2 linked regions of the Oryctolagus cuniculus genome follow. Each later gene encodes a partner of the first gene's protein in a complex. Links are inferred from orthologs where the notes say so. Each region holds a gene or a part of one and is shown on either strand. Other genes may lie near its edges. The genes, in order: MUS81 and EME2.

Region 1 (4,362 bases):
TTATTAGGACATGAGCCTGGCGGGGGCGGAGCCGGCCGCGGCGCCGGCTTCGGGCTCCTTATAAGGCCGTGCTGGGAGGGAGGCGGGCTGGGCCCCGGCGCCCGCCCCTCCGGCCCTCTCGGGGGGTCCCGGGCCCCGCACGCCCCTGCTTGGGGTTCGCCCGCTCTCGACCTGGGACTGCTGCGGACGCCAGCAGGGCCCGCTCCCCCTCCCTGCGCCGAAGCACCTGCTTACGTGTCGCTCAACCTGGGCCCACCGAGTTCCATCTCCAAACCTCGCTGGGGGAAGGGGGTCCCGCGCCTCCACCGAGCCCCCGAGCCGGGGAGCCTCAGCCCCGGAGCGGCTCACGTGCGCCCCTCTGGCCGCCACACCTGCCGGGACGCACACAGCGCCTCTGCTCTCACCCCAGTCCGCCCAGCTAGGGCTTCCGCCGCCGCACACCCCAGAGCCCCTACCCACAGAGGCACCTGCGCTCCGCTGTCCCCCGACCCCAGTCTCCTGGAGTCTCCTCACGCCCCCTCCCACAGATGCACCTGCGCTCCGCTATCCCCCGCCCCCAGTCTCCTGGACTCTCCTCGAGCCCCTATCCACAGATGCACCTGCGCTTCTCTGTCCCGCGCCCCCAGTCTCCTGGACTCTCCCCGAGCCCGTACCCACAGAGGCACCTGCGCTCCGCTGTCCCCCGCCCTTCCTGGACTCTTCTCGTGCCCCCTATCCACAGAGGCACCTCAGAGGCACCTGCGCTCCGCTGTCCCCCGCCCCCAGTCTCTTGGAGTCTCCTCACGCCCCCTCCCACAGAGGCACCTGCGCTCCGCTGTCCCCCGCCCCCAGTCTCCTCGAGTCTCCTCGAGCCCCCTCCCACAGATGCACCTGCGCTCCGCTACCCCCCGCCGCCAGTCTCCTGGACTCTGCCCGAGTCCCCTCCCACAGAGGCACCTGCGCTCCTCTGTCCCCCGCCCCCAGTCTCCTGGAGTCTCCTCGAGCCCCCTCCCACAGATGCACCTGCGCTCCTCTGACCCCCTACCCACAGATGCACCTGCGCTCCGCTATCCCCCGCCCCCAGTCTCATGGACTCTCTCTGAGCCCCCTCTCTGCTGCCCCGCTCCGCCGGGGTGAGGCAGGGCCTGGCGGTCCTCCTCGCCGCTAGGGGCGCTGTCCGCCCTCCTCCGAGGGCGCGTGGGGCCCCCGCTCTCGAATCCGCCGTGGGAGGAAGGGGCGGGTCGAGGCTCAGGGGCCTGGGCGGGGCGCGCCCGAAAAGCCGGCCGCGGCCGGGCGGGGGCACCGAGGCGAGAGGTGGCCGCGGCTGCGCTGGGCTCCGGCCACTGAGGGCCGCGCGGGGGCGGGGAGGGCGGCGGGAGGCGCCTCTCGGGCTGGGCCACGTGACTGCAGAGGTTCCCGCCCTCAGTCCCTACCCCGGCCAGGTGTTCGAATCCAGCCACAGACCTGGCGGCGGCCCGGCCCCGCGGGCGCCGGGGCTCATGGCGGCGCCGGTCCGCCTGGGCCGGAAGCGCCCGCTGCCCGAGTGCCCGAACCCGCTCTTCGTGCGCTGGCTCACCGAGTGGCGCGACGAGGCGGCCAGCAGGGGGCGCCGCACGCGCTTCGTGTTTCAGAAGGTGGGTGCCGGGGGCAGGTGCGGGCCGAGCCGGCAGGCGGGACCGACCTGCCCTGACCCGAGGCCTCCCGCCCGCCTCCGCCAGGCCCTGCGCTCCCTCCGGCGGTACCCACTGCCCCTGCGCAGCGGGAAAGAAGCTAAGATCCTGCAGCACTTCGGAGACGGGCTCTGCAGGATGCTGGAGGAGCGGCTGCGCCAGCACCGAGCGTCCGGCGGTGAGCGCCCGCCGCGATGGCCTGGCTGCGGGCTCGGGCTTCCGCTCGCCCCGGGGCTGGCGGGTCTCCAGGCTGCACCCCGGGACCCTCAGAGCTGCGGTGCGGGGCTGACGCTCTTACGCTCCCGCAGGCGGCGATGGCGATGGCGATGGCGATGGCCAGGGCTCACCGTCCGGAGCGAGGAGTCCCCCCGGCGAAGGGCCGCCCGCCCAGGCCCAGGCCCCTCCCGTGGCAGTGAGAAGGGGGGGGGAGGGCGCAGGGGGAGCCGGGCACTAGGGGCTTGGGGCGTTAGCAGGCCTGAGTCCGGCTCTCACCACGGCTGCCGGGCTTGGGGCGAATGACACCCTGTTAGTGCTTTAAGCTGTAAGTTGGGATGTTGGGAACAGCTGGCGACAGCTCCACGCTCAGCCACTTAGGGAAGCCACGGTGGGGTCCTTGCGCGGGCAGACTTCAGTGGGAGGGGGATCTGGGGGGCAGCAGGTAACTCCCAGCCCCTGCCACTGCTCCTGCCGCCCCCCCCCCGCCTCTGCCCCGATTTCTAGGGGGTCGACCCCCCTCCCGGCCCGTTTTACAGGTGGGGCAGCCGTGGCTTGGCCGGGGGCCTGGCTCCCTTTCCCAGTCCCCCTCTGCCTTTCAGGCCTCCGCGCAGCCCCAGGCCGGCGGCTCCGGTGGCTACTGGCCGGCTCGGCACTCAGGGGCCCGGGCGGTGCTGCTGCTGCTGTACCAGGAGCACCTGGTGCGTGCCGGGCCCCCGGGAGGGGGACGGGCACGGGGGCGGGCGCGGAGCAGCCGGCGCTGAGCCTGCCCCCGCGTGTCTGCTGGCCGTAGAACCCCGAGGGCCGAGGCTTCCTGACCAAGGAGGAGCTGCTGCAGCGGTGCACTCAGATGGCCGCCAGGGTGAGCCCAGGGCGCGAGCGCGGGGCCTGACCCGCGTGGCAGCGCCGCGGCGCTCTGAGCGTCCCCTCCCACCGCACAGGTCACTCCCGGGAGCTCGCGGTCCTGGCCAGCGCTCCGCTCCCTGCTCCACAAGAACCTGGTGCTCAGGGCGCACCAGCCAGCCAGGTGCGGGACACGGGAGGCGTGGCGGGGCGGGGGCGTGGGGGGCAGTGAGCATGGTGGGGGGGCAGTGGGCGTGGCGGGGGGGGACAGTGTGCATGACCCGGGCAGTGAGCGTGGCCGGGGACAGTGAGCGGGGCGGGGCAGTGGGCGTGGGGGAGACGGTGTTCGTGGTGGGTGGTGGGCGTGGCAGGGGCAGTGGGCATGACCCGGGTGGTGAGCGTGGCCGGGGACAGTGAGCGGGGCGGGGCAGTGGGCGTGGCAGGGGTGGGGGGGACAGTGTGCATGACTCGGGCAGTGAGCGTGGTGGGGGGCAGTGGGCGTGGCGGGGCAGTGGGAGTGGTGGGGACAGTGAGCGTGGTGGGGGACAGTGAGCGGGGCAGGGCAGTGGGCGTGGGGGGGGGCAGTGAGCGTGGCGGGGGCAGTGTGCGTGGGTGGCAGTGGGCGTGGGGGGGACAGTGAGCGTGGGGGGGCGGTGGGCGTGGGGGGGCGGTGGGCGTGGCGGACTCCCGTGGGCTCCCAGCAGTTCCCAGACCTGATGCGGCGGCTGGGGAGTGTGGGAGTGAAGGAGGCAGGGGCGGGTGAGGGCAGCGGGAGAAGCGGTTCGAAGGCCTTAGAGTGGTGAGCGGGAAGATGAGGGAGGAGTGCGTGCCAGAGGGTGCATTTCGCAGACCTGGGAAGTGGCACCGGGCAGGGGTGGGAAGGCGGGGGCAGGAGCGGGAAGGTGGGCACAGGGAGCCGCTGGGCTTGTTTGCGGGAGGCCAGCCCGGCGCAGCCCAGCGTGGGGCAGGCGAGAGCCTGCCAGGGGCCAGGGAAGAAGGCAGAGCTGTGTTGTGTCCCCTCCCAGGTACTCGCTCACCGCGGAGGGCCTGGAGCTGGCCCAGAAGCTGGCTGAATCGGGACCGCGCTCGGTGGACGCGGGCGTGGGGCCCGAGCAGCCTCCCGGGGAGGAGCCGGCAGTGCCAGGGGCGGCCCCGGCTGAGCTGTGAGCAGGGGCAGGGGAGGAGGGGGCCTGGAAATGAAGCCGCCGCCCCGCCCTGCTCTGTCGCCTGCAGCTGAGCCGGGGCGCTGGGGGCTCTGGCCTCCAACACCACCTCTCTCCCCCTCCCCCTCCCCCGTAGTGGCGCCAGCGCGGGGGGTGTCCAGCAGGCAGCGCTGGAGCTGGGGCCCGGGGAGTACAGGGTGCTGTTGTGTGTGGACGTTGGTGAGACCAGGGGGTGAGTGAGGCGGGGCAGCCTGGGAGCCGGCGGGGGGAGGGGATGCTGGCCTGCCCTGACCTTGGCCTCCTCTGCACCACCAGGGCGGGGCACAGGCCCGAGCTACTCCGAGAACTCCAGCGGCTGCGTGTGAGCCACACGGTGCGCAAGCTGCACGTCGGGGACTTTGTGTGGGTGGCCCAGGAGACCCGGCCCAGGGACCCAGGTAAAGGTGGGCAGGTGTCAGAGGCGGGGCCAGGCGGGCAGGGGACGCGCCCCCGAG
Region 2 (4,490 bases), on another chromosome or scaffold:
AGGCCGAGCGTGCCTGCTGGCCCTCACGGGGAGGTCCGCCAGGAGGCCCAGGCGCTCCCGCTCCGTGCTGCAGGCGGCCAGTGCCTAGGGGAGCAGGCCCGAGCATGAGCGGCTGCGCTCCGTGACCTGGTCCCCGCGCCTGGACCGGGAGGCGTACCTGCTGCAGGAGTCGTGGAGAGGGGAAGGCGGTGACGATGGAGCCGGCCACGGCGGGGCTGACCCGGTTAAACTGCATGATCTGCCGCTGCCAGGCCTCCCGAAGCCCACGGCCATCCCTGGTTACCCGCACACCTGCGGCCCAGCGCCCTGCCGTGCAGAAGGAAAAGGCCTGGGACTCCCGGTGCTGCCTGCGGAGGGAACGGGAGGCCTTCCCCACCTCGCCAGCGGCAGCTGCCCTGCAGCGCCCTCCGGCCGGGGGGGGGGGGGGGGTGCGCACTTGAACGGGCGCTGGGCCAGCGCTCTGGTGAGGGCGCACACGTGCTGACTCAGCTCCTGCCACGAGGCCACCAGCAGCACGTCCATGTCCGCCCAGAGCTGGAGGAGGACCAGGGCCTGGGAGGATGGAGCACAGCGTGTGTGGACCACGGGCCTTCCACAGGGGCCTGGCTGGCCTCCGAGGGCGGCCACCTCACCTCCTGCACCTCAGGCCTGCCGACGGGCACTCCACCGCGGGCCTCTGGACTCCTGGGTGACTGTGTCCCCCGTGCACTGGGCTGGCTGGACCTGGGCAGGGGTAACTCCCTCGGTCCCCCAGAGCGAAGCCCTCGCTCAAGGGGAGCTCACTGGCTCTCCTGCAGGGGGCCCCACCAGCACCCCGACCTCGCCATCCCACCCCCAACCCTAAGAGCGGGGGTGAGCAGTACCACAGGTAGGCGTCCAGTCCCACGACGGCCAGGTGGGGGCGGGAGGGGCTCTCGGGGGAGACCCAGGGCACTGAGCAGATGGGGCCGGAGGCCTGAAGGGGAGAAACTGCACCCCGTTTGCCGGCAGGTCAAGGGCCGGGGTGCACGCAAGGGCAAGCTTTTGAGAACAGTGGCTCTGCTTTCCTGGAGACAGTGCCCAGGGTGTGCCCCCGACCCCGCCAGAACTGACCGGCTCCCCCAAGTCCCTGGTGCACTCCTCCAAGCTCAGGCCCCAGGGCCCTCCTGCCCTGCGAGCCACACCGGACTCTGCCGCACCCAGACCCTGTCCAGCTCCGTCCCGCTGCACCTGAGCCAGCCGGGCCGCGCCCTGCAGAAACTCCTCGGGCTCCAGCAGCAGCAGCGACAGCAGCTCCGGCTCCTCTCGCTCCTCAGGAGGGGCCTGCGGGGACAGCGGGACGCGCCGCCGCTCTCGCCCGGCCCAGGGTCCGCCGCCGGGAGAGGGCAGCCCGGGTCTTCGGGCAGCGGCGGGGCGCGAGCTCCCCCCCAGCACCACCACTCCTCGGGACACGCAGTCCGCCGTGGGCACTCACGCTGCGGGGGCAGGGGTCGGGGGTCCCCCAGCTCCAACACAGGCTCCGCGGACGGCGCTGGGGCTCGATGCGGCACTGACAGCCCAGGGCGCCGAGCGCCTGCAGCAGGACGTCCGCGCCAGCGTCCTCCAGGATGGCTGGGGCCGCGAGGGGCACGACTCAGCCGCTCTGCGTTCCCGAGGCTCCTGCCTCCCCCACCCAGGACCACCGCCCGCGGCGCAGAGCCCCGCCAAGCCCGGGCCGCGCCCCTCGCCCCGCACCTGGGTCTACGCCCACCGCGAGGCGCTTCAGGGCCCGCTCCGGCCGCAGCGCCTCGGCCGCCGGCCCCTGGGTCCCCGCGCCGGCCGCCGCCCCGGAGGGGCCCTCGGCGTCCGAGTCCGAGATCTCCCAGGTCGGCGGCCTGCGGCGCGCGCCCAGCGCGCGCCCGCACCCCGCTCTCGCCATGGGCGGCCCGGCCTCTCCTCCGCTTCCGGCGCGCGCGCCCGCTCGCTTCCGGCGCGCCCTCGCTCCGCGCAGCCGCGGCAGCTTCCGGCCGGGTGCCCGGGGCCGCGCGGCGGGACCATGGCGCGCAAGAAGGTTCGGCCGCGGCTGATCGCGGAGCTGGCCCGCCGCGTGCGCGCCCTGCGGGAGCAGCGAGAGCAGCCGCGGGACTCGCAGCGCTACGCCCTGGACTACGAGACCCTGACGCGGCCGCACTCGGGCCGCCGCCTGCCCGTGCGCGCCTGGGCCGACGCGCGCCGCGAGAGCCGCCTGCTGCAGCTGCTCGGCTGCCTGCCGCGCTTCGGCCTGGGCCGCTTGGTCACGCGCAAGTCCTGGCTGTGGCAGCACGACGAGCCGTGCTACTGGAGGCTCACGCGCGTGCGGCCCGACTACACGGCGCAGGTGCGTGCCCCCGCCGGCGCCGCGGGGCTCGGGGCGCAGGCGCGGCCCAGCTGACCCGAGCCGCTTGCTTTGCAGAACTTGGACCACGGCAAGGCCTGGGGCGTCCTGACCTTCAAGGGTAAGGCCGGCCGCGCGGCGGGGGACGCGGACAGGGGCGCGGGGAGCCGAGGAGCGGGCGCTGAGCCCCGCCTTTGCCTCCGCAGGGAAGACGGAAGGCGAGGAGCGCGAGATTCCCCAGGTCATGTACCACGACTGGCGGCTGGTGCCCAAGCACGAAGAGGCGGCCTTCGCGGCGAACGTGCCGGGGCCCGCGGACGCCCCACGGTCTGTGCCCTACCCGCCGCTCCTGCGGGCCATGATTCTGGCCCAGCGGCGCAAGAGCGGGGACCCCAGCCTCGAGGAGCCAGTGCTGAACTTGGAGAGGGTCCGTGTGGACCCCTGGGACTACCCTGCCAGGCTGAAGGCGAAGGGACAGCCCAAGGGCACCCCTGTCTGAATTCCCGGAACCTGCGGGTCTCGGAACACGGTCTGCGTGTGAGGGCAGGGCCAGGACTCGCACTGCCCGCAGGCTTCCTCCGCCCGCCCCCGCCCTTATTGTGGCCAGAAATAAAGGCCAGCCGCATCTCCTGGGTGTGGTTTCTTTGCGTCTAAGGCTGCGGGAGGGAAGGGCCACGGGAGGCGTGTCGCCAGCCCCGTCCGTGGGTTCCCGGGGTACGCGCAGCAGCCCCAAGTCCGGAGCGGAACCTGCGCGCAGCCGGGGTCCCTTTAAGCGCAGGCCCCGCCCCGGGCGCCGCAGGCTCCGCGCCTCCCGCCCCGCAGGCTTCGCGCCGCCGCCGCCGCCATCATGATCTGCGTGGTGCTGGCCCTCTTCGCGCACCTCTTCCCGGCAGGTGAGTGGCTGGGCGCGCGGGGCGGCCTGGGCAGCTCCGGGCCGGCCTGACGCCCGGCTCTGCAGCAGGCACCGGCGCGCACGAGCGCACCTTCCTGGCCGTGAAGCCGGACGGCGTGCAGCGGCGGCTGGTGGGCGAGGTGGTGCGGCGGTTCGAGAGGAAGGGCTTCAAGCTGGTGGCGCTGAAGCTGGTGCAGGTGGGGCGGGCGCGCGTGCGGGGCCGGGGGGGCGCGGGGCGGCGCTGGCCCGGGCCCCGGCGCAGGCGCAGGCGGTCCGCACTCCTCCGCAGGCGTCCGAGGAGCTGCTGCGCCAGCACTATGCCGAGCTGCGCGGGCGCCCCTTCTTCAGCCGCCTGGTCAAGTACATGAGCTCGGGACCCGTGGTGGCCATGGTAAGTACCCCGCCGGGCAGGCGGACGCGGGAGCCCGCGGCGCGGTGACCAGCCGGCCGCTCCGCCTGCGCAGGTGTGGCAGGGGCTGGACGTGGTGCGCGTCTCTCGGGCACTCATTGGGGCCACGGACCCGGCAGACGCCCTGCCCGGCACCATCCGCGGCGACTTTTGCATCGAAGTCGGCAAGTAAGGCCCGCCCGGGGTCGGTGCTGCCCGAGCCCTCCTCCCCGCATCGCCCCTGCCCGCGCTCAGCCGGCCTCTCCGCGCAGGAACGTGATCCACGGCAGCGACTCGGTGGAGAGCGCACGCCGCGAAATCGCACTGTGGTTCCGGGCGGACGAGCTCCTGTGCTGGGAGGACAGCGCCGGGCACTGGCTGTACGAGTAGCCGCCCCGCCCCGCCCCGCGGCCGCAGCTCCTCGTCCCAGCCTGGCGTGGCGGGTTGGTTGGTTGGTTGGTTTTGCAATAAACTGAAGGCGACTGTGCACACTGATTCGGACCGGGACGACGCGGAAACGTTGCTTTATTACACAGAGCAGATACGGGGTTCACTTGCAGGGCCAAAGCCGCGGGAGGGTGGTCTGGCGGCCCCTCCCCCGAGCTGCCCCGCCCACTGACCCCAAGTCACGGCTGGGTCCCGTGGGGACAGACAGGGACTTGACGGACATCACAGTGGAGAGGTGGCTGGGCCGCGGGGAGAAGCCTGCTGGGGGACGTGGCTGCGGCCGAGGCCAGCTGGGCTGGTGGGCAGCTGCCCGAGGTGTGTGCTTCTCTGGTGGGGGGCGGCCCCGATCAGTGCCTCAGAGCAGGGTAAGGTCTGGGCCCCCGGGGCAGCAAGGCCTGGCCATGCAGGGGCAGTCCTGGGCCGATGCCCAC

What was found.
Region 2: the proteins of MUS81 (region 1) and EME2 are in contact, whole or in part, in a crystal structure (PDB 7F6L), measured with the Homo sapiens proteins. The link is inferred for Oryctolagus cuniculus from reciprocal best matches to the Homo sapiens genes MUS81 and EME2. Residues at the interface, in NP_079404.3 of Homo sapiens: His330, Glu351, Phe354, Lys357, Arg358, Arg363, Val365, Glu381, Leu385, Gln386, Thr389, Asn390, Gln392, Val393, Ile394, Phe398, Lys400, Arg401, Tyr411, Leu414, Leu415, Arg417, Gly418, Leu419, Arg421, Leu422, Pro447, Ile464, Lys467, Ala468; in NP_001244299.1 of Homo sapiens: Glu140, Arg177, His179, Glu220, Glu221, Val224, Leu225, Gln227, Leu228, Trp229, Asn231, Leu232, Asp233, Leu235, Arg245, His246, Ala249, Val250, Lys252, Ala253, Leu254, Gln256, Tyr257, Lys260, Gln261, Glu264, Gln266, Phe268, Phe270, Cys271.

Annotation. Positions count from the first base shown.
Region 1 is NC_091432.1:5,906,399-5,910,760, reverse strand, and holds the start of MUS81 (crossover junction endonuclease MUS81), read left to right. Parts: upstream 1-1,341; 5' UTR 1,342-1,478; coding exon 1,479-1,613; intron 1,614-1,697; coding exon 1,698-1,827; intron 1,828-1,957; coding exon 1,958-2,061; intron 2,062-2,401; coding exon 2,402-2,563; intron 2,564-2,655; coding exon 2,656-2,724; intron 2,725-2,803; coding exon 2,804-2,889; intron 2,890-3,730; coding exon 3,731-3,868; intron 3,869-4,004; coding exon 4,005-4,100; intron 4,101-4,183; coding exon 4,184-4,305; intron 4,306-4,362. UniProt on the Homo sapiens protein: Catalytic subunit of two functionally distinct, structure-specific, heterodimeric DNA endonucleases MUS81-EME1 and MUS81-EME2 that are involved in the maintenance of genome stability.
Region 2 is NC_091450.1:33,388,878-33,393,367, forward strand, and holds the start of EME2 (probable crossover junction endonuclease EME2), read right to left. Parts: upstream 2,993-4,490; 5' UTR 2,579-2,992; coding exon 1,714-2,578; intron 1,591-1,713; coding exon 1,454-1,590; intron 1,303-1,453; coding exon 1,210-1,302; coding exon of another isoform or gene 956-1,209; coding exon 864-955; intron 724-863; coding exon 633-723; intron 553-632; coding exon 437-552; intron 348-436; coding exon 158-347; intron 85-157; coding exon 1-84. Other genes in the region: NME3 (nucleoside diphosphate kinase 3), read left to right, coding at 3,180-3,225, 3,291-3,421, 3,514-3,615, 3,689-3,801, 3,885-4,002. UniProt on the Homo sapiens protein: Non-catalytic subunit of the structure-specific, heterodimeric DNA endonuclease MUS81-EME2 which is involved in the maintenance of genome stability. In the complex, EME2 is required for DNA cleavage, participating in DNA recognition and bending.